3 linked regions of the Callithrix jacchus genome follow. The protein of the gene in region 3 interacts with the protein of the main gene of each other region in a pairwise test. Links are inferred from orthologs where the notes say so. Each region holds a gene or a part of one and is shown on either strand. Other genes may lie near its edges.

What was found.
Region 1: the proteins of RAB3IP (region 3) and NAA10 interact in binary tests that used the Homo sapiens proteins (3 or more experiments, as listed by UniProt). The two-hybrid records come from large-scale screens. The link is inferred for Callithrix jacchus from reciprocal best matches to the Homo sapiens genes RAB3IP and NAA10.
Region 2: the proteins of RAB3IP (region 3) and TRAPPC6A interact in binary tests that used the Homo sapiens proteins (3 or more experiments, as listed by UniProt). The two-hybrid records come from large-scale screens. The link is inferred for Callithrix jacchus from reciprocal best matches to the Homo sapiens genes RAB3IP and TRAPPC6A.

Annotation. Positions count from the first base shown.
Region 1 is NC_133524.1:149,838,490-149,847,816, reverse strand, and holds NAA10 (N-alpha-acetyltransferase 10), read left to right. Parts: upstream 1-42; 5' UTR 43-187; coding exon 188-208; intron 209-613; coding exon 614-712; coding exon of another isoform or gene 713-817; intron 818-1,088; coding exon 1,089-1,147; intron 1,148-2,522; coding exon 2,523-2,568; intron 2,569-2,670; coding exon 2,671-2,786; intron 2,787-2,984; coding exon 2,985-3,029; intron 3,030-4,064; coding exon of another isoform or gene 4,065-4,201; coding exon 4,202-4,286; intron 4,287-4,802; coding exon 4,803-5,084; 3' UTR 5,085-5,150; downstream 5,151-9,327. Other genes in the region: ARHGAP4 (rho GTPase-activating protein 4), read left to right, coding at 6,809-6,944. UniProt on the Homo sapiens protein: Catalytic subunit of N-terminal acetyltransferase complexes which display alpha (N-terminal) acetyltransferase activity. Acetylates amino termini that are devoid of initiator methionine.
Region 2 is NC_133523.1:39,351,698-39,361,916, reverse strand, and holds the end of TRAPPC6A (trafficking protein particle complex subunit 6A), read left to right. Parts: intron 1-5,044; coding exon 5,045-5,112; intron 5,113-5,268; coding exon 5,269-5,386; intron 5,387-5,999; coding exon 6,000-6,083; intron 6,084-6,238; coding exon 6,239-6,332; intron 6,333-7,035; coding exon 7,036-7,067; 3' UTR 7,068-7,343; downstream 7,344-10,219. Other genes in the region: uncharacterized protein LOC118150114, read left to right, coding at 8,770-8,858, 9,060-9,260, 10,025-10,132. UniProt on the Homo sapiens protein: May play a role in vesicular transport during the biogenesis of melanosomes.
Region 3 is NC_133510.1:72,376,947-72,387,165, reverse strand, and holds part of RAB3IP (rab-3A-interacting protein), read right to left. Parts: coding exon 10,051-10,219; intron 7,082-10,050; coding exon 6,953-7,081; intron 5,714-6,952; coding exon 5,601-5,713; intron 1,608-5,600; coding exon 1,508-1,607; intron 1,422-1,507; coding exon 1,352-1,421; intron 1-1,351. UniProt on the Homo sapiens protein: Guanine nucleotide exchange factor (GEF) which may activate RAB8A and RAB8B. Promotes the exchange of GDP to GTP, converting inactive GDP-bound Rab proteins into their active GTP-bound form.

The sequences.
Region 1 (9,327 bases), on a different chromosome or scaffold from region 3:
CCAGCTGCCGTGCACTTCCGGCCGGTGGCCAGCCCGGCGCGCACCGCCCCTTCCGCTGCCGCCCAGGTAGCCCAGCCCCGGTCCCAGCCCCGGTCCCAGCCCCCGCCGTCCCGGTGTCGCTTCGGAGCGCGGCGGCAGCTGACTGCGCCTTCACGATCCGCTGGGACCCGCGAGCCCCGCCGCCGTTATGAACATCCGCAATGCGAGGGTGAGCGCCCTGGGCGGGAGGCTGTCCGCGCCGCGTGGGCGCCGGGCCCGGTGGCTGCTGCGCATGCTCCCGAGGGCCCCGGCCGAGCCCATCCCGGTGGCCCTGCGTGTGCCTGCGGCCTCCGGACCTCTGAGACTTGCCTAGCCCGCCGAAGAGGCAGGGTCGCGGGGCAGGGGCTGCGATTCCCTCCTGTTTACGTGATGTCGGGCCTCCGTTGGGTGGGCTCCGAGAACCTCTAGGCGCCCACGCCTGTTCCTGTGCTCCGGGCATTGAGCAAAGTCAGATCGTCACAGTGCCTGCCCTGCCCCGGGGAGGGGGGCCTAGCAGACGACGGGGAGCAGGCTTCTCACCCGTGGTCACCGCCGCCCTTGACTGACCTCGTTCCACTGTCCTCCTACCCTGCAGCCGGAGGACCTGATGAACATGCAGCACTGCAACCTCCTCTGCCTGCCCGAGAACTACCAGATGAAATACTACTTCTACCATGGCCTCTCCTGGCCCCAGGTGGGCAGCTTCTGAATTTGGGCGTGGGAAAAACCAGGCCGAGGAAAATCCAATCGGGCCATCTGGAAGGGAGTGGACAAGTCTGTCAGCCCAGAGGGCTATATGGTCGGTGACTTCCCGGGTGTTTTCAGCTGGCAGGCAGGGGCAATGGAAAAGAAGGCACCTGAAGGGAGCAGAGAATAGGGGCAGGATCCCCACATTGTGTTTTCTTTCCAGGCATGGGGAGGGCACAGTGTGGCTTGGGGCAGACCAGGTCACCCAGCCTGGAGGTGGTGAGCTGTCATACAGCTTGCCACGTGTCCAGCTTCTGTCCCTGTAAGGGCTCCTCCAGCTCCACCACGAAGTTTTCTCATTCCCCTTTCCTCTCTGTCACCAGCTCTCTTACATTGCTGAGGACGAGAATGGGAAGATTGTGGGGTATGTCCTGGCCAAAATGTGAGTCATCAAGGAGGAAGAGAGAAGCTACACGTGTCTGGTGGATGCTGCTGTGGGCTTTTAAAAAAAAGAATAGGCTTTTTATTTTCAGTACAGTTGAAAGTTTTTAGAAAAGTTGAACAGAAAGGACATGGAGTTCTCATCGAACCCCACAGCACCCATCCCTGCCAGTTTCCTCTGTTAGTAGCATGTTGGATTTGCGTGATCCATTTGTGACAAGTGACAAACGAATGTGATTTATTATTTATTTGTTTAGTTTTGATACCGAGTCTCACTCTGTTGCTCTGTTGCCCTGTTGCCCAGGCTGGAGTGCGGTGGCATGACCTCAGCTCACTGCAACGTCTGTCTCCTGGGTTCAAGGGATTCTTCTGCCTCACCCTCCCTAGTAGCTGAGATTACAGGCATGTGCTACCACACCCGGCTAATTTTTGCATTTTTACTAGAGACGGTGTTTCACCACGTGGGCCAGGCTGGTCTCGAACTCCTGACCTCAGGTGATCCACCCGCCTTGGCCTCCCAAAGTGCTGGGATTACAGGCGCGAGCCACGGCGCCTGGCCGATATATTGTGAACTAAACCAACAGTTTACATTGCTGCACGTCTCTTTGTGTTGTAAGCCTTACGGTTTTGACCAAATGGCATGTGTCCACCTTGTATTATCACAGGATAGTTTCACTGGGTTCCACGCATTCATCCCTCCCTCTCCTTAACCCCTGGCAACCACTGATTTTTTTACTGTCTGCATAGTTTTCCTTTTCCAGGATGTCACAGAATTGGAATCATACCGTATACAGCCTTTTCAGACTGGCTGCTTTTTCACTTAGTAATATGCATTTAAGCTTCTGCCTTGTCTTTGGGTTGACGGTTCATTTCTTTTTTTCTTTTTCTTTTTTGAGACAGGGTCTCGCTCTGTTGCCCAAGCTGCAGTGCAGTGGCGTGATCACGGCTCACTTACAGCCTCAACCTCCCAGGCTCAAATGATCCTGTCACCTCTGCCTCCCAAGCAGCCGAGACCACAGGCATGCGCCACCATACCCAGCTCATTTACAAATTTTTTTTGTGGAAATGGTGTCTCACTATGTTTTCCAGGCTGGTCTTGAACTGCTGGGCTCAAGCGATCCTCTTTTCTTGGCCTGCCAAGTAGCTGGAACTCTAGGCGTGTGCCACCACACCCGGCATGCATGGGGTTTTTAGGCAGCAGAGGGTGGCAGTATCAGCTGCGCTGATCCAAGAGGCTCCCAGCCCTCCCCCAGCTGGGGTCTTAGGTGGCTGTAGGGCCAGCCTAGAGTTTGCATGTCCACTCTACGTATGGCAGGGGTGGGGGTGGAGGTGCCTACACAGAGCTCCTTTGCAGCCTCACCTTCCTCTCTCTCCAGGGAAGAAGACCCAGATGATGTGCCCCATGGACATATCACCTCATTGGTTTGTAGAGTCCACCCAGGCTCTGGTGGGGGTGGAAGTGGGGGTTAGTTGGGGCAGCCCTCAGGGTCCCAGCCCCTCATCCCCTCTCTGCTCTTCCACCAGGCTGTGAAGCGTTCCCATCGGCGCCTCGGTCTGGCACAGAAACTGATGGACCAGGCCTCTCGAGCGATGATAGAGAACTTCAATGCCAAATACGTCTCCCTGCATGTCAGGAAGAGGTGGAAGCTGGGCTGAGGGAAGGGGGATTGAGGGGAGAGATGCTGCCTTGACGGGAGTCCTGGGGGCCTTGGCTTTTGGTGAAGACCCGGGAAGTGGGATTGGTGGGAAGGAGGCACCAGAGGGGAGGGGCAGGGCCTGGACATGCTACCCTACCTGGCCCAATCCGTGCAGCTCAGCAGTGCCTTGTTCTCCTGCAGTAACCGGGCCGCCCTGCACCTCTATTCCAACACCCTCAACTTTCAGTAAGTAGATCTTGGTGTCTGTAATGGGTTGGGGCTGGTCCCAGGTCTGGCTGTCAGGGCCGCTGAGACCAGCTGAGCTGCTTTCCAGGCAGGGGGTGGGCTAGCTACGGGGAGGAGGCTGTGGATCCCAGCGCTGCCAAGATGCCTCCCCACTCACTTGGTGGCTGATGGCTGAAATGTGCTCCATGTGTGTTGTGATGGAGGAGCTCTGGCCCATGCTGGCTGAGGCTGGTGAAGGGCACAGGGTTGTTTAGTCATGTTTGGGAATAGAGATGTGTGGGTCTCTGGCATGAGCAGATGCTAAGGAGCAGGACTCTGTGTGACCAAGCGCCTGGAAGCATCTAAGAGAGAGCAGAAGCAAGGAGAATGCATGTTCAGGAAGAAAGGGCCGGCGGCCAGGCAGCCTAGTGGATGGGGCAGGTCTGCCGAGGACCCGGAGGCCCCGTTTGCCTGGCCCAGGAGAGAGAACCTGGCAGTCAGTGTGCCCAGTAGACAGTGGAAAAAAGTGCTTGCAAGTGAAGCTGGGGTGGGCTACCCGTGTGCCCGTGGAGGGATGCTAACTGCACTCAGCACCAGTTTGACTGTTGGGAAGGGCGGTGGCCTCGGCTGGGTGCTGGCAGGAAGGATCTGTGACCCAGATGAGGATGTCTGGTGGAAACTGCTTTATAGTGAAGTCAACAGTCCTCATGTCTGAGGTCTGACAGGGCCAGCCTTCCAGGACATGGCCACCCGAGCCTGCACGCGTGCCTCCCCAGTGCGGGCTGGGCTGTGCTGCATAGGGATGCAGCCCTCAAACGGGCTCACCCACGTTCCTGTATTTTCATCACTGTGGTGAGGCAGCTCAGTAAGGGATAGGAAGCAGGGCAGAAAGGGAAGGGGAAGGCTGAATTCAGGGCTTCAGCTCACAAGAAACCACAGAAGGGGAATCCTTAGTAGCCAGGCTAAGGACACAGAACAGGAACAGGACAGGGGTGGGGCGGGCCACTGTTACCTGGAGCCTTTACTGGAAGTGGGGCCACTGGAGGATTCTTTCAGGCTGGACTTGCTGTCTCAGGATGGAGCCTTCAGGGAGAAAACATGTCACCTTGCTTCAGTAGCCATGATGCCAGGAGCAGAGGAGGATGTGTCCTGGGTATGGGTCTTCCTCCTTGCTCTCTGCCCTCTGCCCCCAGGATCAGTGAAGTGGAGCCCAAATACTATGCAGATGGGGAGGATGCCTACGCCATGAAGCGGGATCTCACCCAGATGGCGGACGAGGTGAGAGCGCTGCAGTTTAGCCAAGCGAGGCCAGTGGGGTCGGCCCTGTGGGCGGGGGGGAGGTGGCGGCACTTGAGAGCCCTGGGACAGTGGCTGGAAGCAAGACCAACTTTGGGCGCCAGCCCTTGTGGCCACATTGCCAGGACTCACGGCCTCAGTTTCCTAGGCTGGGCTTTAGAGGAGGCTGTCTGCCTAGCAGCAGCCTGGAGGGTGGTGGGAGAGGCAGACGGAGGAGGCTTTTAGAAGGGAAGTGGGACAGCCTGGGACCAGTGGGTGGCCTGCCTGCTCAGAGGTAGTTCTGAGTCAGGGTTCTGCCCAAGGTGGCAGGGCTGTTGAAGGGGCAGCACTCGGTCGTGGGGGCCTCCATGGTAGTCAGTGAACCCAGGGAGCAGTGGGCAAGGCTCCAGCCAGGTGTCCCCACTCAGTCCCGTGTGTCTTTCCTAGCCCTGCTGCTTCTCATTATGCCCGTCCCCTCAGCCAGCGACAAGTCCAGGCTCCCCTTGTCTGGAAACTTAGGCCCTGTATCTTTGCTCCCGCTTCTCCCTGGGCTCCTGGCGGCAGCTGAGGCGGCACCTGGAGCTGAAGGAGAAGGGCAGGCACATGGTGCTGGGCGCCATGGAGAACAAGGTGGAGAGCAAAGGCAGCTCACCTCCGAACTCAGGAGAGGCCTGTCGTGAGGAGAAGGGCCTGGCTGCTGAGGATAGTGGAGGGGACAGCAAGGACCTCAGCGAGGTCAGCGAGACCACAGAGAGCACAGATGTCAAAGACAGCTCAGAGGCCTCCGACTCGGCCTCCTAGAGCCTGCCCCGGCCCTTCCTCACCCCACGAGCTTTCACAATAAATTCGCTCTATGGCACTGGGGAACTTTGTGTGTGTGTGTGTGTGTGTGTGTGTGTGTGTGTGTGTGTATGCGCACGTGCGCTTGCACATTTAGAAGGTGTGTTTCTCCAGCTCCTCTGTCTGGTGGGGATGTGAACCTCACAGCCTTTTAAGCCAGGGCATCCTGCCAGGCCCGAGTAGAAGGGAGGAGCTTTGTGAGAGCCTTGGGGGTGGGACTCCCCAGTCTCATAACCTTCAGCAGCTGTGGCCCCAGGGAAGGAGGCCCTAGACTTCCGGGAGAGACCCTGCCTCAGAGGCCTGCTCGGCCACGCCGAATGTGTTTTGTGCAAGCCTCGGCCGCTCAGGCTCAAAGCTCAACAGCGGGCTCCCATTCTTCAGTACTTCTGCTTGGCTCTTGAGTGTCCCACCTCCAGCCCTTTTCTCTCCTAATCACACTTGCTTTGGGCTACAGCAGCTCCACTACACCCCGTGGGCTTCAGATGTAGACATCCAACTGCTCATTGGGCCTGTCTACAGCTGTCCTGTCTGAGTAATGACCCAGCCAGATGCCCAGTTGCTCAAGCCCTGTCAGTGGTCCTTGAGTCCTCCCTCCCCTGCTACCCTAATGGTCAGTGAGTCCATGATACCTCTTGGGTCTGCTCCCTAACCTGAGTTTGCAGTTGAAAATAATTGATTTTTAGTACAGTTCCCCCCGTTTCTCCTACTGACATTTTGTATTAGTTGGTGTGTTGGTTTCTGTTGATTAGCCAATACTGATATGTTATTGTAAAGTGTAGCCCATGTTTCACAGTAGGGTCCTTGTCTGTGTTGTACAGTTTCTATGGGGTTACACAAATGCATAAAGCTATGTATCCCCCATTACAGTTTCATGCAGAATACAAAACTGGGCAGCTGTTGGGTATGGTGGGTCACACCTGTAATCACAGCACTTTGGGAGGCCGAGGTGGGCGGATCAGTTGAACTCAGGAGTTGACCAGCCTGGGCAGCATGATGAAACCCCATCTCTACTAAAAATCAAAAACAGCGAGGCGTCGTGGTGCACACCTGTAATCCCGGCTACTTGGGACGCTGAGGCCGGAGGATCGCTTAAGCCTGGGAGGTGGAGGTTGCTGTGATCCCAGATCATGCTACCACACTCCAGGGACACATATATATCAAAATCCTGTTTTTCATGGAGTCACCCAAACTCCATGTGTCTTTGCTCCCTCCTATTCCCTCCGGCTGCAAAGCCATCACTTGTCTCTGAGCGGGCCCTGTATTCCTGAGCCGTCTCTATACACAACATCTCTGCTACTGCAGGTGGCACACTGCTGCTCCGCCAGGTTGAAAATTCGCCGTACAGGCCTGGACCTCGGTTCTCGTTGGCTGGTGTGTCGCACGTGACCAGCAGGCAGCCTGCCGCGGTGGAAGCCGAGCCCAGAGCTCGGCAGGGCGGGGCCGGGACCGGAAAGTCGCGCCTGCGCACGCCCACCGCTCTACAGTTCCCGGCTCGGGCGAGGCTGTGTTCTGATTGGCTCAAGACGTGGGCTTCCCTTTGTATGGGCCAGAGGCGGCGCCCTGTCCCGCCCCGTGCCTGGCGTCAGTATCTTCCGGTTCGCAAGCCGGCGGCAAGCTTCGTTCCCAGGCTCTGATTGGTTCGGCGGCGCCGAGCTCTGCGCGCAGGGCGTGGGGGAAGGGAGGGCATGCGCACTGCGTCGGCCCCGCACCGGCACCGGTGGAAAGAAGCTGGGCCGGGCTCACACGGCGCCCTTCTTCCTCCCCTGCTCGGCCCGCCCTCCGCCCTCCTGTCCGCCGCTCCGTCTGTCGCCACGCGGGCAGGTCCGCGCTTTCTGCGGGCTGCCTGGCTTTAGGATGCCTTGAAGGGGAACAGTGGAGCTAAGAATAGAGCGAGCAGCAGGTGACAGTTGAGTTCAGGGCCTTAAATGCCACACAACTGCCCTAAAAGCCAGGGCCCAACACTCAGGTTCTAAAGCACGGGCTGAATGGGGCAACATAGGACTAGCTCTGGAGTGAGAAAAGGAGTGAAGAGAGCGTTTGAGGCACGGGCTGAGCCCTTTTCTGCCTGCCTGAGCCCTGTGCCTGTCTCTGTGTGGAGGGACCTTTGGGGACCAGTCGGGGCTTGGATGGAAGAGCAGGGTGTGTTGGGGTCAGCTAATGAGGGGAGGGGGTCCCTGATTCCCCTTGGCCTGAGACAGCGGCGGGACGTGTGAGTCTCCCTAGCAGGAGCAGGTTGGGGTGTGGCTGTGGCTGTGCGCGCCGTGGGAAGGGGCGCAGGCTGGAGGACTCGAACCTCAGCATTTCCGAGACCAGCTGCTGGAAGTCCAGGTCCTGGGCCTACCGGGGTCTGGCTAGCTCCCAGGCCTCGAAGCCTCAGGTCCTGCAGACCCTCACAACAACGTCTTCGAGAAGGGCCTGGGAGAAGGGGGCGGGGAGCTAGGGGAGTGTATTTTCCTTCTGGGCAAGAGAATTAATTGCTCATAGTTGAAAGGCAGGAAGTACCTGCACAGCCTCCCCTCCTCCCCAGATCTGCAGGTCAAGGTTATGACTCTGACATCCGTGCACATAAAGGCTTAGGACCCTTGCACTGGTGCCCACAGGCCCGCTTTTGGGACACACTCCTGGTGCCCAAGTGCTTTGTCCCTCTCCCCAAGTCTATATCCCAAGGATTTCCCTCCCAGCAAATTGAAGCCAGTTGTCTGCTTGGCATGTCAACAACCTCCTGCCTCCTGCCTTCCCGATTTCCCCGAGAAAAGCTGCTGCCCTGCGGTAGTGGGTGGAGGAAAGGCCCCACCACCTCTGTATGAGGGAGGCCCCAGACTTGCCCCCAGGGTAGCTAAGACCTTACTCTGAGGGGGCTGTCCCCCTCAGGCCTATGATGGGCAGGTGCAGCTGCAGGGGAAGGGAGGCAGAGCAGCCTCTTCCGGCAGCAGGAAGTGGTAACCGCCTATGTGGAAATTGTGGGGCTGAGCAGAAGGGGAACCAGAGGAAACCCTGCTCCCCCACCAAGGGGGCCTGGAGGGAACAGCCAACAGCTGCTGAGGTTCTGCTCTCTGGCGATGACCTTCCTTCTCCTCCCCTCCAAACTTCCCACCCCAGCTCTCAAGGCTCCCTGGGAAGGGACGACCCCGTCCGATGTCCAGGACCTGGGGCAGCAGTGCTATTCATGTCCACGGGCACTGTGGGCCAGCGACCCCGGTGCGAACGGTGCAGTCTGGCAGTGGTGACCACGGACAGCCTTCTGGAGGTGGTGGCAGGATTGCAGCCAGGGATGCCCACTTACCTCGGGGTCTCACACCCGCCCCGGCTGCTTGGCAGCGGGGCTTTCGGCACAAGGCAGCCTAGGTGCAGGCCCAGCGGGAGGGGACGACAAGGCCGGGGCACAATGGGGCTGCAAGGGGGGGTCCTGCCCCCGGGAGCCCCTCGCGGCCAGTGCCGGGCCGGGGCCGCCCCGCCCCACCTGGAGCGGCGCTGGGGGCGGGGCTGGGCGGAGCCCGCGCAGGGTGCTGGCCGCAGCGCCCCCGAGTCCCGGCGCCGGCTCTGCTCGCGACCGCGTGGGAGCAGTGGGGTTTGACGGCGCGGCCGCCAGGCCGCCATGGCCGCTCACGGGAAGCTGCGGCGGGAGCGGGGGCTACAGGCTGAGTATGAGACGCAAGTCAAAGGTGAGAGGGCGCCGGGCGCTCCCGGCCCGTATCCTGCGGAGACCCCAAGGTCGTGAGGGCGCTCCAAGCGTGCCCGCACTGACCCAGGGCCCGATGCTCTCCCCAGCGACCTCTGGAGGGGGGTGGAGGAGGGAGCCTGAGCCCCTTGCCTGCTTCCCCACGCCCATTTGGCCTCAGCCGCCTGCCATCTTCCCTTTCTCCTTGCCTCTCTTCCTTCGTTTGGTCCCTGTTCCTCACCCAAGGCCCAGTGGAGACACTGGTGGCCGCTGGTAAAGGGGAGCCGGATGCACCAACGTGCCCCCAGGAGGCAGTGTGTTAGCTACAGTGAAGTGGGTAAGGGAGTCCAGGTGAGTGGATTGGTGGAGATCACCTGGCCCTAACCCCGCTGCAGTCCCTGGAGCCCCAGCACCTTTTGCCTCCCTTTGGCACTGACGGGGATCAGAGGTGAGGGCCACTGTCTTTGGGTCAAGCTGGCGCAGTGAGTCTTGGTTGAGAGATTCAGCAGGGCTGGCTTCTCAGCCTTCTGAAATTGAACCTCTCCA
Region 2 (10,219 bases), on a different chromosome or scaffold from region 3:
TTCTGATGACCCAGAGAGGTCGGCATGGTCCTCCCACTTTATAGATGGTGCGACGGAGGCTTTGATGGATGGAGTTCCTCGCAAGCGGCAGAGTCAGGAACGCGACCAGGCCTCCCGCTTCCAAAGCCCATGCTATAAACTCTCACTTGCATTTCCCAATACTTGCCCTGGGAGGGATTTTAATGGGTTTCTGTGGTCAAGCAAGTGTGAGAAACTGGCTTGCTCAGCTCTGCTCACCGCCGGCCCTTCAGAGTACACGAATGTGCCTGGGACCTTGGGCAGGGGTTCCCTACCCAGCTGCCACTGAGCGTCAGGCCTCATAAAACTCCCAGGTGGCTCTCGGGTGCAGCCAGGGGCAAGAACTATGTAGTTTCCCCGCACTCCTTCCTTCTGAGGAGCCCCGTCTTTCAGGGGGCCTCATGAGAATTGGCTTCACTTCTCCTTTCTCTTCATTGGTCCCAACTCTTCATTCCTTCTCTTTGGCCCAAAGCGTTCCTCTGAACCAAGCAGGCCTCCCATTGTCTGCGGACGTCTGTCCAATACTGGCACAGTGTTTACTGGCTAGTCATCACAACAGCCCTCCCGATTCACAGAGAAGGAACTGCCTGCTTGGGAGGCGAAGGGATTTCCTGAGGCCGTGCAGCGGGAATCAAAGGCAGAGTCAGAACCCAGGCTTCTGGGTAGCGCAGGCCTGCCTTTCCCACCAGCTCCAGACCTCCTTGAGGACAAGGATGGTGACTCCTTCATCTCTGTCCCCAAAAGCACCGGTGCCCAGGAGCCACAGCCAGAGTGTAGGGCTTTTGCGGCCTCCTGTCTTACGAATACGGTGGTTATTTGTGGCCGTTCTCCTGTGCTGTCACAGGATTTGAAGTGGGTGACTGGCCAGAGGCGCTGGGGGCCTTTGTTCCCGAGGCAGGAGGAGCCCTTGGAGGAAGCAGCGGGGGCTTTTCTACCCCAGAGGCTTTGAAGACAAGGGAAGCCATTGGGCAAAGAGAGCATTCCTCTGAGTCTGTGTAGTGAAGAGCTGAGGTGCCGCCACCTGCTGTCCCAGGCCAGGCCTGAGACCCTCCAAAATAGCCTGCTGGGCCAGGCCTCCATCCACCATGCCCTCAGAGTGCACTTGGGCAGCCCTTTCGGAGGGCGTGGGGCAGGCAGATCAGTCATCAGATGGTCCCTGCCCTCGGCCCAGAATGCAATGCTGAGCCTGTGAGGCTGGGAGCCCCAGGCGAGGCCCTCCTGGGAACTGGGCTCTATCCCGAAGGCGGTGGGAGCCACAGCAGGGTTTAAACTGAGGTGCGCCTGGCTCAGATGTATATTCTAGAAGGACCTCCCTGGCCACAGGAATGGACTGAATGGAGGTTGGCCTGGGAAGAGCCCCAGCACTGTAGGAGCTTAGGGCAGAGGCTGTGGTGGGTAAACCTGCAGGGCTGAGCGGGGACAGGATGGGAGATCTGAGCGGGCACAGGCGGGATCTGGGCTGGAGCAGGACGCCTTGCTGGATGAAGGAGGAGAGTTGAGGGCGACAGCCGGGAGTCATGCCGGCTTCTCGCGCCCACCCCTCACTCACCTGTGTGCCAGCACTTCTCTCTGTGCTCTTCTTAAGGCAGGAACCAGGGTTCCTGCTGCTTCCCTGAGTTCCCCAGCACACCCCGGGCCTCGCAGGGAGTGGCTCTGCAGGTGGCGGTTGAACAGGGTCAGCCTCTGCCCAGGAGCCAGCAGGTGCCTGGAAAACAGCCGAGGGGCGGGGCAGACAGGAGAGACTGGAAGGAGGCAGCATCGGCCCCCACCGCTCCCTCCTGCTTCAGGGCAGAATGTGCTTCTACTAAGCCCTGCTGCTGGTGAGGGTCCCACAGGTAGCTGCCGTTAATGTTATCCTCGTTTGAGTTGGGTGTGGTGGCTCATGCCTGTAGTCCCAGCTACTTGGGAGACAGAGGTAAGAGGATCACCTGAACCCAGGAGGTGGAGGCTGCAGTGAGCTGAGATCCTGCCATCGCACTCCAGCCTGGGTGGCAGAGTGAGACCCTGTCTCAAACACAAACAAAATGGCCCTCTGTTTACACACGAGGAAACTGAGGCCCAGTCAGCCACTGGCCCAGGGCCCACACCTGGTAAGTGCTGGGGCCAATCTGGACCCGGGCAGGTGGCTCTATACCAGTGCTGGTGTGAAGGACCCAAGCAGAGTCTCTTCCCACCGTCTCTCACACACCTGCCCGTCTCCGGCAGTCATCAGACCCTTCCCTGAGCTCCTGCTCTGTGGCTGCCCCTGCCGTGCCTGAGGACACCAGAGGGAGCGCCAGCGCAGTGCAACAGTGACAGACAGTGTCGCTGTCACCCATGAGAGCAAGGCCTGCCAAGGGGCAGGGGAAGGGGCAACTTGGCCTGAGATACGGGCAACCTCTGCTCAGATCCCCCATTCCTAGCACTCCCCACCTCTGCCAGGCCAATCGCCATGACTGTTCACCCCCCACGCACTCCCATCTAGACCTGCTGGGGTGTGAAAGACAGCCCTGTGCTCAGGATGCCATGGACAGGTTCCCAGTTTCCACCAGTGAAATACAGCCTCCTTGTGAGGCTGGAAAGGTAAAACAGCTGTAGAGAACACCTGGCTCAGCGCAGCAGCTCACGCCTGTAATCCCAGCACTTAGGCTGAGGCGGTTGAATCACAAGGTCAAGAGTTTGAGACCAGCCTGGCCAACATGGAGAAACCCTGTCTCTACTAAAAACACAAAAAATTAGCCAGGCGTGGTGGCACACACCTGTAATCCCAGCTCCAGAGGCTGAGGCAGGAGAATTGCTTGAACCCAGGAGGTGGAGGTTGCAGTGAGCTGAGATTGCGCCATTGCACTCCAGCCTGGGCGACAGACAGAGTGAGACTCCTTCTCAAGAACAACAACAAAAAAATGCCTGGCACACAGTACGCGGGTCCTGGCATAACATTTGTGTTGTGACGTTGATGAGAAAAGAATATCGATTCCGGGGGCTGCTGTCTGGCTGGTGTTTGCAGGTTCTCCCTCTGCTGGTGCAGGTTCCTCTGGGCAATCCTTGGGATGTGTCCGCTGGGTGAGCTGCGGGGTCTCCACGGGCCATGAGTGAATGTGGGCCTCAGTGCGCCCTGTGATGGGATGGCATCCTGTCCAGGATCCGTTCCGGCTTTTGGCCCTGCCAGGATGGGCTTTGGCCCCCCAGGACCCTGAGCTGGTAGAAGTGAGTAAATTGGGTTACTTGATTTTTGTTTATTTTTTGGGACAGGTTCTCATTCTGTTGCCCAGGCTGGAGTGCAGTGGCTCACTGCAGCTGCGACTTCCTGGGCTCAGGAAATCCTCCCACCTCAGCTTCCCAAGTAGCTGGGAAATGGGTGCATGCCACCACACCTAGCTAATTTTTGTATTGTGTTTTTGAGACGGAGTCTTGGTGCACTTTGTCTGATCAGCCTGTCTATTAAGTCCCACCCACATGGCAAGCCCTGTGTCGGCTGCAGAAGGCTGGATGTGAATTGGCCAGCCAGGGTCCCCGCCTTCACAGAGCTGCATCCTTATCCAGTGACAGTGCGCAGTGGGCAGGGCTGGGGACGCAAGCTGGAAGGGAGGAAAGGAGAGAAGGGAGCCAGTAGAAAGGCCCAGAAGTCTGAGCCTTCCTGACCAAGGAAAGCAAGTATTAGGGGGCGGCAGAGAGGGTGATGGAGGCAGCTGTGGGGGGCAGGCTGCAAGAAGCCTTCTTCAGACGCCCTCCAGGCTGGGACACCCTCTCCAGGGCTGGAGCCAAGCGGAGAATTCCCGTCCCCATTCCAATGGCGATGGTGGTGGTACAGCCATTCCCGGGGGAAGGTTGTGGTTGAGGGCGGGAGAGGGAGGGCTGGAGGGCTCAGGCCCGCTGACTGCAGGCTCCTGAGAGCAGCTCACGGTTCCACACCCGCCTCTCTTCCATTCCCCAACTTCTGCTCTGCTGGGCTTTCTCTGAGAAATCTGGTACCTCATGCCCAAGCCATCCTGGGGTTTCTCGTGCCCCCCAGTCTGGGCCTCCTCCCTTCCTCTGCAGTGGATCACCTGAGTAAAAAAGTTTAAAAAATCCATGGCCAGGTGCAGTGGCTCTCGCCTGTAATCCCAGCACTTTGGGAGGTCAAGGCGGGCGACTAATTTGAGGCCAGGAATTCAAGACCAGCCTGGCCAACATGGTGAAACCCCATCTCTACCAAAAATACGAAAATTACTCGTATGTGCTGATGTGCACGCCTGTAATCCCAGCTACTAGGGAGACTGAGGCAGGAAAATCCCTTGAACCCAGGAGGCAGAGGTTGCAGTGAGTCAAGATCGTGCCATTGCTCTCCAGCCTGGGCAAAAGAACAAGTCAGTGTCTCCAAAAAAGAAAAATCCATGAGCACTTCTCCAGCCGTGCTGTCCACACATAGGCACGTAGGCAAACAGCACATGCAGCCCTCCTGCCACGCCTGCTGCCTGGGGCCTGCCTCTGTCAGCACAGTCCCCTCCCATGTGGACCCTGGCCTGCCCTTCCCAAGCACCCATGGGAAGATCTGCCTGTCCTGAGCTTCCTTCCACGTGTCCACCCAGGGATCTTGGCCAGTACTATAGGGGTGACTTCCATAGCCCCCTTTCCTGTAGCCCAACCTCCAGGCCTTGGGCAGGTCACCTGGAGCCTCTTGGTGTACTCACAGCGCCCAGGTCCCAGGGCGTTGTGAGGGTTCACACTGAAAGCACTTGCAGTGCATGACCGGTGTTAGCAGGAAGAGTCATACGGGGGAAGGGGTCTTGGGGAAGACCTCCATTGTTTCTGAAGGAAGCAGGATCTGGTCCTTGGATCCTGACAGTCGGGATCCAGAGAGCCTGCGAGGTCTGCAGAGGAGGGTGAGGGAGCCCGGGCACCCTAGAGGCCTGCCCCTGCCAAGCTGTGCTGGAACCCATCCCTGCTCACCCCTGAGTTGACGGGCACCAGCAAGTTGGTTTTCAGGTCCCCTTGCAGGTATCCCCCTGGGTGGCCCTGTGTTCGAGGTGGCCAAGGGCCCCTGAGCTTCTTTCCCCTGGCCTTCTAGGGACAGAATATGAACCTGTCGGTCCTGGAGAGTGTGGGCTTCCGCGTGGGCCAGGCTCTAGGCGAGAGGTGAGAGCGGCCCCTCCTGCTCTCCCCCAGCCTGGCTGGCAGGGTTGGGCAGGCCCCAGGCGGGGAGGGTTACATTGCTCCATGTGGGAGTCAGGCCTGGCTTCCTCCCTCTTCCTGGCCTGGCCCCACATCCTCAGCCTGGCACTGCCCCACCAGGCTACCCCGAGAGATGCTGGCCTTCAGGGAGGAGCTGGATGTCCTCAAGTTCTTGTGCAAAGACCTGTGGCTGGCCATATTCCAGAAGCAGATGGACAGCCTGCGCACCAATCACCAGGTGGGAGCACCCAGGCCTGCCAACCCGCCCAGCTCCCTCCCAAGGGTGTGGCCAGGAGAGTGGGAGGGGAAGCCCCAGTGCCAGAGCAGCAGGTCCCGGGACCTGCCCAGAACTTTCCTACCAGTGGCCGCAGCCCTTAGTGGGTCTCTGATCCTCTAAGGGAAGCCAGGAGGCTGCACTAGGGTATAGGGGGTGTTTCCAGAACCTCCCCAGCCCCGCCTACCAGGAGTGAGCCATCCATAGGCAGAAAGCCCCTGGTGGCCTCCTGCCCTCTCCCCAGTGCAATGCCACTTGTCCCAAGCTGGTCCAGTCCCCCAGTGAACACCCACGCTGTGCCGCTCCTCTGCCGCTTCCTGGGCTGGGTCCCCAGTTTTTCTGCACAACCCTGGGAGGTGGGGGCGGGACCCACACTCCCCAGGGCAGGAGTACTCAGCCGGTCAGGAAGCCCCAGGTACAGAGCACTGGAGGCCAAGGCTGTGACTCTAGCAGTTCTCACAGATGGGGCCTTCCCAGCCTCAGCCCAATCTAGCACTCAGGCTGGGTTCCCACTTCCCCTCCCTGCACTTCAAATGTACGGGCCCCACCACCACCCATGGCCTCTCCTCTCCCCCAGGGGACCTATGTCCTGCAGGACAACAGCTTCCCCCTCCTCCTCCCCATGGCTGCTGGCCTGCAATATCTGGAGGAAGCGCCCAAGGTATGGGAGGGAGCTGGGGCCTGTCCACACCTCCCTTCCTACTGTGTACTCGGCCCCAACCCCATGTCAGGCCTCTCCCCAGGCCTAAGGGGTACCCCAGACCTCAGGTGCCAGCCTCCCCTCTCTTCCCACACTGGTCTGTGTCCCCTTTCCAGTTCCTGGCCTTCACTTGCGGCCTCCTGCGCGGCGCCCTCTGTACCCTGGGCATCGAGAGCGTGGTCACCGCTTCCGTGGCAGCCCTGCCTGGCTGTGAGTCATGGCGGTGGGGGGGGCGGGATTCTTCTCATTTTTTGAGTTGCTGGGGGCCTCGGAGCTCCGGCTTGCTCCTATATTGGTGCTTGGGAGGCAGCCCCAGGCATAAGTCACCTGCTCAGCCACACAGCAGGTGCAGGCCCATCTGTGCCCCTGGCCCCATGACTTCCCCAGCGCTGCAGAGAGAACCGTCTGGCACAGTTCTGGAACAGAGCGTCCTCCTGGGGAGCAGGCTGGGGGCCGGAGTGCAGTGTCTGGCGGTGTGAACACCTCCCCCAGCACAGGAGCCCAGGTGGACGTAACAGGAGTCATCCTCGCTGATACTTGGCTCCTGGGAACTTGCAGCCTGCCTGCTGGGGTGTTCTCTGTCAGACAAGCTGCAGCCCCATTCCTGTCTGGGGACAGCCTGCCCAACCACTTCCCCCAGTTATTTTCCCTCTGCCACTTCCCCAGGCCCACTCATGGGGGCCCCAGTGGGTAGGACTGAGGAGGCATACCACAGAAGCCTGTGCAGGGCCCTCATACTCCTGGTTACCCACGCAGCCCAGGGATCCAGGCCACATGGGCGGGGGGAGGAAAAAGCCCCAGCCCAGCCCTTAGGCTGTCAGTGTGGGACAGGGTAAGCCCCTGAGAGCCATCCAGGTGTCCTCTGCGTCTCCCTCATCCCAGCCTCCAGCCTAAGCCAGTCCTTCTCTTCCAGGTAAGTTCCAGGTGGTGATTCAGAACTCCTGAGCCCACCCCACACCTGCTGAGCACACTGCTGCCCCCACCCTCACTGGCCTCAGGAGACAGTGGCTGCCTTGGACCCTTGGCTGCTGCATTTGGGGGGGGCTGGTGCTAGGTATCCCAGGCCCTAGGGGTCACATGTACTCAGGAAGTGGGTATCAAAGCAAGGTGGGGTGTCACAGGAGGCAAAGAGATGCCAGCCGTGATCTGGACTGGGGTGGGACTCCTGCCTCAGCAGTGTCACTGCCCAGCAGGTATTCAATAAAGGCTGTGTGTGTGGAATCCGACTCGGAGCAGTGGGGAAGGATCAGCGGGGCGACCGTCACAGGGCCTGCAGGGGAGTGGGCACCCTCTCTGGCCCCCATGCCCTTCAGACCCTCCCCTGCCAGGCCCAACTCCGCTCCCTCCCTCCCCAAACTCCTGGCAGAGGGATGCTGGCCCCCGGCACAGGCGGCCCTGTTAGTATCTCTGCCAAGTCAACAAGTCTGGGGCTGCCCTCTGCCTAGCAATGTATATGGAACAGAGCGTCTTCCTGGGGAGCAGGACTGGGGGCCCCTGGAGTGCAGGCAGGGGTGGGCTGGAGAATGCATGGGGGTTGGGGGAGGCAGGCACCCTCATGCACACATATGGCTCCTACCCGCTCCTGATGCCTGTCCTTGGGCAGTGACCTTTACACTGCCCCCTCCTGCCATGCTCCCATCTCTAGCATCTGGGGATACCTGGGCTTCGCCACCCACTGCCTGACACGGGTTAAGTGCCCAGCCTCAGAGCTGGCAACTGAGGCTGGGAGTGACCCAAATGCAACGAGAAACGGTCCCCTTGCTAAAGACACTCCCCTGTAGAGTGCGGTCCAGTCACCCCATCAGCCCCTACTTGGGTCATCCCTTCCCAGCCCACCTGGCTGAGAGCGGCCCTGATTTGCATCTGCCACTGCAGTGCTGCCCCTGCCTGGCCTGCTCCCCAAATTCCTGCTCCCTCTAGTGTCCAGCATCTTCCTGGCCATGTGTCTTATTGTTTACCTTGGGCCAGGCTCCGTGCTGGGGTGGGCAGTGGGGGCTTGACTTGGAGGCCCACCACAGACACCAGCCCCGCCTTCCTGGTGGGCCAGGGGGGAAAATTCCCAGAGCAGCCAGCGTGAGGGGTAGGGGAAAAGACAGAGCCGGTCCTGTCCCAGGTAGCAGGAAGGGCCCTGGTTCTGGCCATAGGGAGCAGAGTTTGCTCACCTGGGTAGAACCCAGGGCCAGGTAGGTTCCCTTTATCTTGTCCTGGGCACTGTTCCGGGGCTGCCTCCCCCATCCCCATCAGAGCACCGTGTCTCTCAGGGAAGGGACTGTTGACCCCATCACACCAGCAGCCTCGGAGTCAGGGCCCCGGAGAGCTGAGGGGTCTCCAGGGCATCTCCTGCCAGGCTCTCCCTGGCCCTCACCTCTCAGAGGGCGTCTGTGGAGTCACTGAGTGCTGGCCCCAAAGGCAGGAGACAGAGCCTGGGAGTAGCAGCCGCTGCCTGCTTCCAAATCCCCGCTCTGCCTTCGTGTGCCCTGGGCCCAAGGACTTCACTTCTCTGGGCCTCAGTGTCCTCATCTGGGAAGTGGGCATCACAGCTGGCCCCTAGATGGTGGTGAGGAAGAGGGGCTACCGTGCGGCAGGCCTTGATATGTGTGCTGTTCCCCTCGTCCTGTGGACGTTGGTTTAGAGCAGCGCCGGGTAAATGGGTCAGCACGGCCCCGGTCAGGCGCACCAGGCCCTGAGCCTGGGACTGCCACCCAGTGCTTCCCTTGAAACAACCATGAGAGGCAGGTACCCACTCAGCAGTGAGGAAGCTGAGGCGTGGAGAGTGAAGTCACGTGCCCAAGGTCACATAGCTGGGCCACAGAGGAGCTGGCCTCTGAGCTGGACTCCGTCCTTATCCCAGCTCCTTGCCCCACAGCAGAAGTGCCCTGACCCGTGGCTGCCTTGAGGAGACTGAGCACTGCAGGCTGCATCTCCATTCCCTACCAGGGATAGGGGCACAAGGCGGAGTCCAGTCCAAGCCCCGTCCTCGAGTGCAGAGAACATCGGGACAGGCGGGCGCTACGGAAGGGGTGGGGACAGGCGGGCAAACCGGTCGGGCGGGCGGGCGCTGGGCTGGGGCCTCCCTCTGGATGGGCCTGTGCTGACAGTCCTAGCTGACAGCAGCTCCCGGGGCAGGCAGCTGGGGCTGTGAGGCCACGGCACATCAGGTACGAGGGGACCTGGGACGGGGGTGGGGGGTGGGGAGTGGTGGGCCGGTCCCCAACCCTCAGCACCCCAGTTTCATCTGCCCCTCAGCGTCTCCCCATCCTTGTCCCCCACCCAGCATCCTTCCCAGTCCTGCTTTGGCTCTTCACATTCAAAACTCCGTACACCCATCGCACCTGAGTTTGCTGAGCCTCTCCCCAAATTGGACCCCTGCGGTTTCGTTGCTCCCCCACAATTCCCCTCCACTGCATCCTTCAGTCCCCACAGGTACCCAGCTCTATTTTCCTTCACCCTGCTTCTTAGCTGCTCCCCAGCTCACTGCACTAGCTCCATGTCCCTCCAAAGCGTGCCAGCCTCCCACAGCACCCTTAATCACCTTAATCACCCCTGTGTCACTCAGCCACCACCCTGGACCCCCTATTTCCCCAGACCACCTCTGCTTAGCACTCCCCAGTGTCCTGGCCTTAGAAACTCCCAGGGGCTCCCAGACACTCAGCCTCATGTTAGCCCCTAGCCACCCCCAGTGGTCCTCCGTTCCCTTCTCTGGCCATCCTTCCTCATCCTGCCTCTCACTCTACCCTGAAGGCTACCTCTGTCCCCTCCTCCCGAGTGACCTAGGAACCCAGCATCCGGGACTTGGCCTCTCCCCGTCCACGCTGTCAGGCAGGACAGGGACCCTGACCTCAGCTCTCTGCTGTTGGTGCCCCAGAGGCTACGCTGAGCTTGTGTGCTCCCTCCTGTCCCAGGAGCAGGCCCCCAGCGCTCAGCTGCCCGGCCGCCATGCACAAGCATTACAAAGTCCACTTCGCCAAGGACGCCCAGACCCCTAGCAGGCACTACTTCTGGGACCCAGAGTTGGGGCACCAAAAAGGTACAGGTTCAGTTTGGGGGTGGGTGATGGCTGGCAGAGGCCTTGAGGGAGCTGGAATGAATGGAGGAAC
Region 3 (10,219 bases):
TTTAAGACTTGTTTACAAGTAAACAAGACTTGCTTAATACTTGTTTATAATAAACACACATAGTAAATGATATGTACTAAATATCATGAAGTGGAAGAGTGACAGAAACAAGATACTACTTTTATTATCATCACCCTCACCATTCATTACTCGTAACACTTTCTTCCTATTTTCATAAAGTAAATAATCTTTCATCTTTCCTACAAACTTCTTATTTAAACAAACAAAAATATTCTTGACAACTATACTTAACATAAATTTTCTGTTCTCTAGCTTAAATGATATTATCCCCCAACAGGTATTCAAAAAGATTTCAGTTTTATTAACGTCAAAAAAAGTATTATACCATTTAAAGACTGCTTTTATGTTACCAAGCCTTTCGAAATTCAACATTAATTAGGTTACTAGGTTAACATGTTTTATCCCTATTGTTTTAGGCATCAAAATCTAACTATCTAAGATTCTAAAGAAATATAACATTTTTCAGCATACCAGAACTTGAGAAAGGCTAAACTAAGTTTTTACCAGCATGACTAATTTCTCCAGAGATTTAAGATTCACTGGTTTACATGATTGAAAGACGGTAGGCTTCAACTAGTGTTTAAGCAAGATAATATTTTCAGTGCCTAAAAAATATAAAGAAGGAAATTTCGCAAAACTTTAAATGCAAACTGGCATAGACTTGTCCCTAGCCCACTATCTGCTATTTTTATTTTTATACAATCATTTGTACTCGAGAGATACTCCTTTGGAGCTGTCAGGTCTTATTAGTTTTTATGTCTGATATTTATAGTTATAAAACCATATAAAACTGTATTACAAAATATTAACACACTTGCATGAGGTTGGTTCTCCTGGATATATCACCTGTACATTTCTGCTGATTTAGAATATGATAATCTTTATGCCATTAAGAATTATCCTCATGACTGCTTTATTAATTCATACGTGAAAGCAGAATATACAGGGAAAACTTAATTGTTAGCTCCATCTTGGTTTCCGTCAATTAAAATAAATCAGACCACTCTGTGGGCTTGCTCATTTTCATCTCTTAAAGAGTCGATTCAGTGAGCGTGGAACTCTTCACATTTACCATCTGGTTTATCACATACCCCTGATGAGTTAAAACTAATCCTGCTTAAAATTCAAAATTAAGAGTAAAATGAGGCAAATAAAACTAAAATATTTGTTTAAAGACATTTGTTCCCAAATTCTCCACAAATTTTATTAGAACTATAGAAGGAATTCAATGTAAATGCACCAACAATAAAGTTGATACATGCATTACTACTACTTCCTATACTTTTGCTGAACTTTTATGTAAAGATTTTAATTAATCAAGAACACTCACCATCCTGCTGCTTAACGAGTCCCTGCTGAATGTATCGAATGTATGTAAAAAAGTTACATACAGAAGTGATCTAGGCCAAATGGAAAAAATGTCATGAATGGTCAAATGTATCATGTCAAAGCAAGCTTTATTAAAATTCATGGTTAAGTCACTTACCCTGTATCTGCAAAAAGGAGAAATATAATAATAGTTGCTTGAGTCCCCTAATTTAATTCTGTGTTTACAGGACTTACTCTGGCCAGTAAGAGCACATTTTCTGTAAAATAATGATAAATATCAGTTTTTTTAAATTAAAAGCATTTGCCCCTACCTTCTGTACAAGTTGCCTACTCATTCAGTTAGATAACAAATATTTAAGAACCTGCTATGTACCAAACACAGTTCTAGATGCTGGGCTACAGTGATGAAAAGGACAAAGTCTCTGCCCTTGTGAGACTTACATTCTATTAATAGTATAAGTTTAATGCCATAACTTTAACCACAATTCTAGAAACAGAAACTAGGTGTTTTCCATATATGTCCCATCTTGGAACAAATTTACAAATGAGTAATCAGCTGCAGGACAGCTCTCAGCTTTCCATCAGGATTTCAACTTCTCAGTTGAAAATATCCTCATGATGTCTGTTCAAGTCTCAAAGCATGTTGACAGCTTGCAGGGTAATAGTTTCCAGATGGGGTATTTGTTTATTTGGTTGGTTGGTTGCTATTATGCATTTAATGTGGGACCTAGGGAGAAGTACAAAGGAATAATCCACCTTACAAAAATACTGAATCTTAACCATCGTATAACAAGTTCAAGAAATTTCACACCACTCTTTCTATTTGCATATGACAAAAAGCTAAAATTTTATATGAGGGCTTCCTGGCTGGGATTAGGCTATCAGCCTCTTGAGGGCAGGGGCTTTGATTCATCTTTAAATGCCTGGCACCAAGCATGTGCCAAGAACACAGCACACATTCAATGACTGACCCATCTGTTACTCTATGGCTCTGTGAGGTAAAGCTGGCATGTCTATCAGGCTGGACTTGTAGCAACCTAGTTGTCACCCTCCTAAGCTAGAAACCTGGCTTAATACAACTATCACTCCCCATCAATGCAAAATTAGCATAGCTCTAAGTAAAGTGAGTAGCCAGTAGCATTTTATGTGACAGAACAAATCATATAGTAAATACATTAAATAACAATGTTTTCGTGATACTTAAATATAATACAAATGTGCCTCTATATTAAGAAAACACACAACAATGTGTAAATAGGATAATTTTTGAGGTGGCAATTAAAATCACAAACCAATTCCTATCTTTCTTCAAAAAGCTATTTCTTTATTGTTTCTTTATTAGCAATTCCTTTAATGATCTGTAACAGTATTTAAAAGCACTAACTACTAGCTTGAGGAGGATGAAGATCTAGAAATTTAAAGCACAAAGTGTTGGAAATCTGTGGAACTTCCAAAGTCTAATCTACACAAGAGGAAAATGTGCCATCAAGCTGCTAAAAATCAATTTATATACTATTCTTCTGGAAACAGATATATGCCTGCTGGTCTACTATTTAGTTTAATTTTGAAATGGATCTGGTAAGGTGGCTTTAAGTATCAACTTTTAAAACAATAAGTGTTTTTTTTTTAACTTCTAAGTTCAGGAGTACATGTGCATGATGTGCAGGTTTATTACATAGGTAAACATATGCTATATAGGTGTTGTGATATACATTATTTCATCACCCAGGTATTAAGCCTAGTATCCATTATTCTACCTGTTCCTCTCCCTCTTCCCATCCTCCACCCTTCCATAGGCTGCAGTGTGTGTAGTTCCCTTCTATGTGTCCATGTGTTCTCATCATTTAGCTCCCACTTGTAAGTGAGAACAGGTAGCATTTGGTTCTCTGTTCCTACATTAGTTTGCTAAGGATAATGGCCTCCAGCTCCAGCCATGTCTCTGCAAAGGACATGATCTCATTCTTTTTTATGGTTGCATAGCATTCTATGGTGTATAGTGTTTCTTAAAAGATCTCATTTCTAAGCCATTTTGTAAACTGGACACACTACTATATTTGTAGTTAACCACAGATTCAATGCTAATAGACCTCTGACCTCCAACTCCAATTTTTCTTTCCAAATATGCTACATACACTACATTAATATATCTCTTTAACTCTAGACCCAAGATTTCAAATCCTTGTTTGGCCATTTTCATGTGAAAATGTCAACATGTCTACATCTAGACCTGTAATCTCCTTCCACAAACCAAAGTCTTTCCTGTTAATTTCCACAATCACTTCAAATCAGTCTTCCAGTCAGACATCTCTAACTCCTTTCTCCTTTACCCATCCCCCACCCCAATCTAACATTTCTTTCTTAAAATCTCTCACATCTTCTCTTTCCTCTCCATACGCTCACCATCCTCTGAACACACTTTGATTTCTTGTTTCTAGGCCTTCAGTTGTATATACTGCTCTTTATCCAAATTCCCCTTATGCTTCAAAAATCTCTCCCTTCAAGAAGAGTACCTAATCATAGCTGAAATGATCTTGTCTTCTTCAAAGCCCTCAGTGTTGTGCCACTGATTTAGTCAATATCTTCACATTCCAGCTCACAAGAGCTACGGCCAGAGCCATACTTCACATTTCATTAAAGAAGACACTATCTTCCTTCAGTTTTTTCCAAATGATATGCATCACAAATGCCTTGATTTCTGGCCCGATTCCCACAAGCACAGTATCCTTAAATTTTGTAAACTGTTCTCTAAATCTAAACTAATAATTATTTTACTAAAGATACTATAAATCCATTTTAGTTTGATATCCCCATTTGTTATCATTTATGATATGTGCACATGTATATGTGTGATATATAATGCAAGCACAAATTTTAAACTCTACAATAAAAACTGTCATATGCTATATTTAAAATGAGGCATAATTTAGACTTTAAAAGTACAAAAACTGCTATGATTAAATTTAATTCTCCATATTTGAGGTGGAAGGATCAGAAAAAAATACTCTTGTGTTTGTAGAATTTAAGAATGTAAATACTTTCCCTAAAATTCAGAGGCTACTGTGGTACAGGTGTGGCACTAGGGGAGTGAGGTGGACATGTGGCTTACAGAGCAAATCAAATATATGACTAGGAACCCTCCAACAAATCGTCCCCTCAATAACAACATTCTGTAATCTTGTGGAGAATGTAACGAGCATTAACAGGAACAGAAAGGCATACATAATCCCCAGAACAGCTTTAACACAGACTTCATTGGTTCATCTCAACCAGTCTTTTCCTCTTCGCGCTTCAAAATAACCCTGACAGCAGTCAGTTATGCTTTCTATGAGCACTCTCAGGCTTTCCAGTTCCCTATATTGATCTGGCTTTTAGCATTTAATAAGCATCTTTCTCAAAAGCTTTCAAAGTCATTTTCTAAATAAAAGGCAAGACACAATTATGCTGTTTTAGGCAAAACCTTTCACCTTTGCCAGATGCGTTAAGCACTGTTGTTTTCAGTTATTCCTCCTCATAGGACTGGATGGGAAAAAAGTCTGTCCTCTTATGAAATGTGGGAGTCTTATCTCTGAAGGTTTATAATTCTCAAGTAAGATTCACATATGAAAGATAAAACTGATTGTTTATTAAAGTGAGAATCCTTTATAAACATAATATGAAAGAAGAGAACTCAGCAAGTCTTTTTGGTACATTGCGTTCATGATTGATATGATTTAGTCTTAACTCAGTATCTTCCCAAACTATTTTTGATGGTCACCTTCAGAGAGAAGTATTTTATACAGAAACCCAGGACACATGGCTATATATATGTGTGTAATAAACAAAAATTCTGCTTATGACCCACTAAACTGATTTCACAATGCACTGATAGGTCACAATATGAGATACACACACACACACACACACACACACACACACCCCACCACTCAGGTTTCTATCTCTAGTCCTATCATATATATATATTATTGCATTGAGTTGGTGCCAAAGTAATCATGCTTGGTGCCATTACTTTCAATGGCAAAAACCACGATTACTTTTGCACCAATCCATAATTAAAACCGCTCTCCTTTGATGCTAAATCTGAAATACTATATTCCACAGTGTCTCATGGATTCGTCTTTGGGCTACACAGACTCTAAAGAGAAATCTGAGGGAAATATAACTACATTTAAAAGCAGAAAAACTAAATAACTGCAACCCAAAACATTTCAAAAACTCAGTCACTTTCACAAGTTATGCATGGAAAAACCTACTTTGGTCCTCCACATTCAACTGCAGAAGCTTTCACAAACCGGATAGGTTGTAATCCCACTGGTTCAATGCTTAGAGTATTGTTTTCCACAGCCTCCAGAACAGCAGAAGCCAACTTAAAAAAATATATATTAGATGTTACACTGGCAGAAAAATATAAAAATTGTATTCTACAGTAAACTAATTTTATAAATTATTCTCCCAAGTTCCACTAGCTTTGCTTTAGCAAATGAAAAAGAAAAAAATCACACAATTTTGGTTTATTTTCTAATCCAAACACTGTTATGAAAGGCAATTCACTTATGGTAAATAACTATCCTCATTATCTGGACAAGGATTAAAGGTATTAATTCCAGCTTCTGTTCATTTTTTACCCACAATTAATATCTACTGTTAATACCACTTCAAAATTAATATCCTAAAGCTTTATTCTGCTAAATGTATACAGTATTTTTAAACACTGATCATTTATAACACACTAATATATATTAATTAGCTATATATTTTCTGAATTTGTATTTACGTGCACAAGAGTGAGTCTACAAAAGAATTAGCTGAATTATCCAACATTAAATGCCCAGATGAAGATGGCAGGAATTATACTAGATTTGAAACAGGCAAACTTCTGTAGTCTGTCAAGGTTACTATTACTGAATGGCCTACCTGAAACCAGATACAGAGCCACAATGAACAACACATATTCATATCAAAAGTGTGAAAAATTTTCATCTTAACTTCTGATAAGTAATATTACAATTAAATCCTTGAAATGCTTAACATAAGACTCTTAGGATTAAATTTCTTATACTTTAATTGACAGGATATTTGTAAACAAACCTTTCACATGTAAGAACAAATTAAAATTACAGCTTTAAATTTTTATACTGCCTTATTTTTCTAAGTTTTTTGTATCTACTTAATCTACTTCATTTTATCCTTTTAACAATCCTGTGGCATGGGCAAAGACATTACTTTTCCTGTTTTAAAGTTAAAAAAATAAGATTTTGAATCATGTACAGATAGACACAACAGATGCCTTTAACTGGGTGTGCAGAGAACTTCCCTTACACTGAACCTTAGATTGCAAATCAAGAAATAAGCCCTATCCCCCATATCTAGTTAATACCTGACTCCAACGCAGTACATGTTAGCGTGAATGAGTCTCTGCTTATATAAGGATGTTCAGTAACTGAATGCCAAGAAATTATCATAATTCTAATATGGAATGGCAAAAATAGTAAAACATGACATTTTATAATAACTTATTTATGTAAGAGATATTAAAATATATATCACGATTTAGTTTTAAAAAGATAGAAACAACTATAATGTATTCCTAATATGAAAAAGTTACCTCGCTTTTTGAGAATGTTAAACATGGAAAGATATCTTCCTGGTAGATTTTGTCTAAAAAAGGACATGTCCTGTCCATTGTGGGCTCATCCTTCCACAATCGGAACTCATTATACAAGGATAAGTCAGCCTATCAAACAAACCAAAGGAAAACACAAAAACACTTTTTAAAAAGTACAAACATAACCACTTTACAAAATCAAAACTAATTTAAACATTACTAAAAAATGCTCTTCATTTAAAATAATAAATTGAACCACTCTTGATTAGTTATAATACCTCGTAGCAGTTTTCCTTTTAAAAAATGACTCCCAAATAGCCAATTTGCCTTTTTCTATTATCATCCACTACCACGTTCAATAATGCTAACATTACCCTCACCCTGAGCCCCTTCTCCCATCCCCACAAAAAAAGCTGGAGTTCCTCTTAAGACACAAGTGGCACTCTATTCAGATTATAATAAATGATGACAAGTCTTTTCTAAAAATAATAAAAAAGTAATCTGGAACCTAATTAATTGAAGTGTCTGAATAAACTGAGACTGGCTGAACTGTGAAACCTAGTTTGGGATCAAAAATGACACTAATTGTTCTACTATCATTTGAAGGCATCCCCAAAAGAATTGTCAAAACATTTATTGCAGAAGGATTAAAAAAAAACACATAAAGCCTCCTAAACTGACTACCTTAAAATATAACATTTATTTAGATATTTTTGACATATTTTGGGCATCCAGCAACTACCATCTTAGGCATCAGTAATAATCCACTGCTGGCACCTGCCTTCCTATTTACTCTTCCAGCTGTCCCTCTCTTTCTCACCTCTGTAATAAATTTTCCCCAAGTATTCTTCCTTACAGATTCTCAGATTCCCTAAGTCCAGCTCAATACCATCTGCTGGAATACAAAGTTCCACTGACATCAGCCACCCAAACTAAAGCAGTCTCCTTCATCCTACAGCTCTAAGCCACTCTAGTCCAGAAGCACTGGACATACCATAAATGATGCACTCACTACAGCTATAGCCTGCCTTTAGTATAGCTTAATCAGATGTGCAAGTAGTCTACAAGAATGTAACCAAGAGCTGAGGGTAACCAAGCTTTCCTACAGACTTCCTTTTAGGGTGCATAAGGGCAATTTCCATAAGAATTTTTTTTTCAGCCCAATTAATAAATTCCTTGAATCAAAGCTAAAAGCAAAAAAATAAATAATATTAGCATACAAGCAATACTTACATTTTCAAATGCATTTTCTTTCTAAAGTTACTGAGAAAATGGACATAAACCCCAAAGCAGGTAAATGGTACTCTAAGGAAAGATTCTAGTTCAAAGGCAGTAATTTAAACCACTTTTTAAGAGCTGACTTGTGCCAGGAACTACTGTAAGCACTTTACAAACATTTAATCCTCACAACTGTGCAAGGCAGATATTATGATCCCTATTTGTAACTTGCCCAAGATTGCATAGCAAGAAAGCAGTAAAGTCCAAATTCAAATCTAAGTGGCTTAATCCCAAAGCCTCGCACTTGGCATCTATGTCTGCAAGCGTGCATGTATATTTTAAATGTTACAGAAGACAAACTGTTGCTTTTGTCTGACTGAGTACTCCACCATATTTTCTACAAAAACATAGACATGCATCATTTTCTTCCAGATTGTTACATATTTTTATAAGACTTACACAGGTCAAATTTATGTAATTCCTTTGTCTAGTAAGACTTTTTGACAAGCTTTTTATGAAACATCAGAATATAACTCATACCTGGAAAGCAAAGATTATTATTTTGAAGTTATATGCTGCCTACACACATTTTAAAAGATTTCAAAAAATTAAAAATGAATCTTTACAATTTTCCATGAGAAGACACTCAAATTTTTTTCGTGTAAATGGGGTGAAGTACATAATTACTTATACTTACTGAGTGAGAAACAGCAAAAATACAAGTTGGACCAGGCAATTAATAAGGCTATCTAAATTCCAAAGAATTTAAATTAAAGTCAGGACAAAAAAAGTTTCTTAAATATTTCACAGAAAACAATGTAAATTTTGGATTTGGTTACATTCAGATCTAACCAAGTACTGAACTTCTCTCTTATCAGCATCTTTTTTATTAAAAATTAGTCAAAATGCAATTCAATTAAAACAGGTTAACAACATTGGTTATTCCATTTAATAAACTCCTGGTTTCCATACAAAAATTTAACAAGCACACACATTTCTTCAAGATTAATGATGGACTTGAAACAACAATGTAAAAGATGGCTTCTAAGAAGAAATGGGAGAGCTTCATAAATTATTGATCAATCCTCTTAGAAATGCATTCTCATAGTATGCAATAATTTAAAAAAATTTTTACTCTAAAGAGCTCTAAATATTTATATTTCAGTTATCTTTATAACACATCTTTTAAAATAATAAGACTACCATTATTTCTTTTTAAAATTTTTAGTTACTATGGATATATAAGAACAGTAGCCTTACATAGTTGTAAGTGTCTGAATAACTGAGACTGGTTGAACTACGAAACCTAATTTGGGATCAGAAATAACACTAATGGTTCTACTCTAACTTGAAATTTCACTTAGCAAAATGTCCTCAGCATTACAGAGTTGTAAGGCTACCATTATTTCTATTTTTTGTTGCTTAATTATTTGAGTTAACTCTAGGACTCCCTTACTGATATAAAATTCCTTCTTCTCTCTAAATTTAAATAAAAATGCACTGATCTTTAAGAAAATCATCTTATTTTCACATATTTCTTATGTTCATATTTTGTAAGAGCACTCTAGCAATAAATTTTGACTAGTCAGATCACTAAAGCCACCCACTATCCTCTAGACAACATGTAACAGTTTCCTCCCTTAATGAAATATTGAGATTAAGAAACTTACCAAGTTTCCAGCAGGTACTCCAAGGTCAGTCAGGTAGAGAATGGAACTGAAGAATCCCTGAAAGCAGCCAGCTCTAGATAAAGCCTCCCCCATCTTAATACTGCATATTTTGTACTAAAAATTTTGCTGGCCAAAATGATAACTGACACCTCAGTGATGAGAATTAACAAGTATCAACAGAGTCAGAGGGGACAGTCCTTGACGAGTTACCTCTTTGCAGTCTTTTACAATTGGCTGTATCACACTGAGGTCCTGATGACTGCCACTCATAGCACTGCTTGTGCTTTTATTTCTTGTATGCCCCTTTTTAAAAGGTGTCTTTCCACCTGGCAGAGGCTCCTGCGTAGGTGAGGTTGGAGAACTGGACAATACAAGTGTC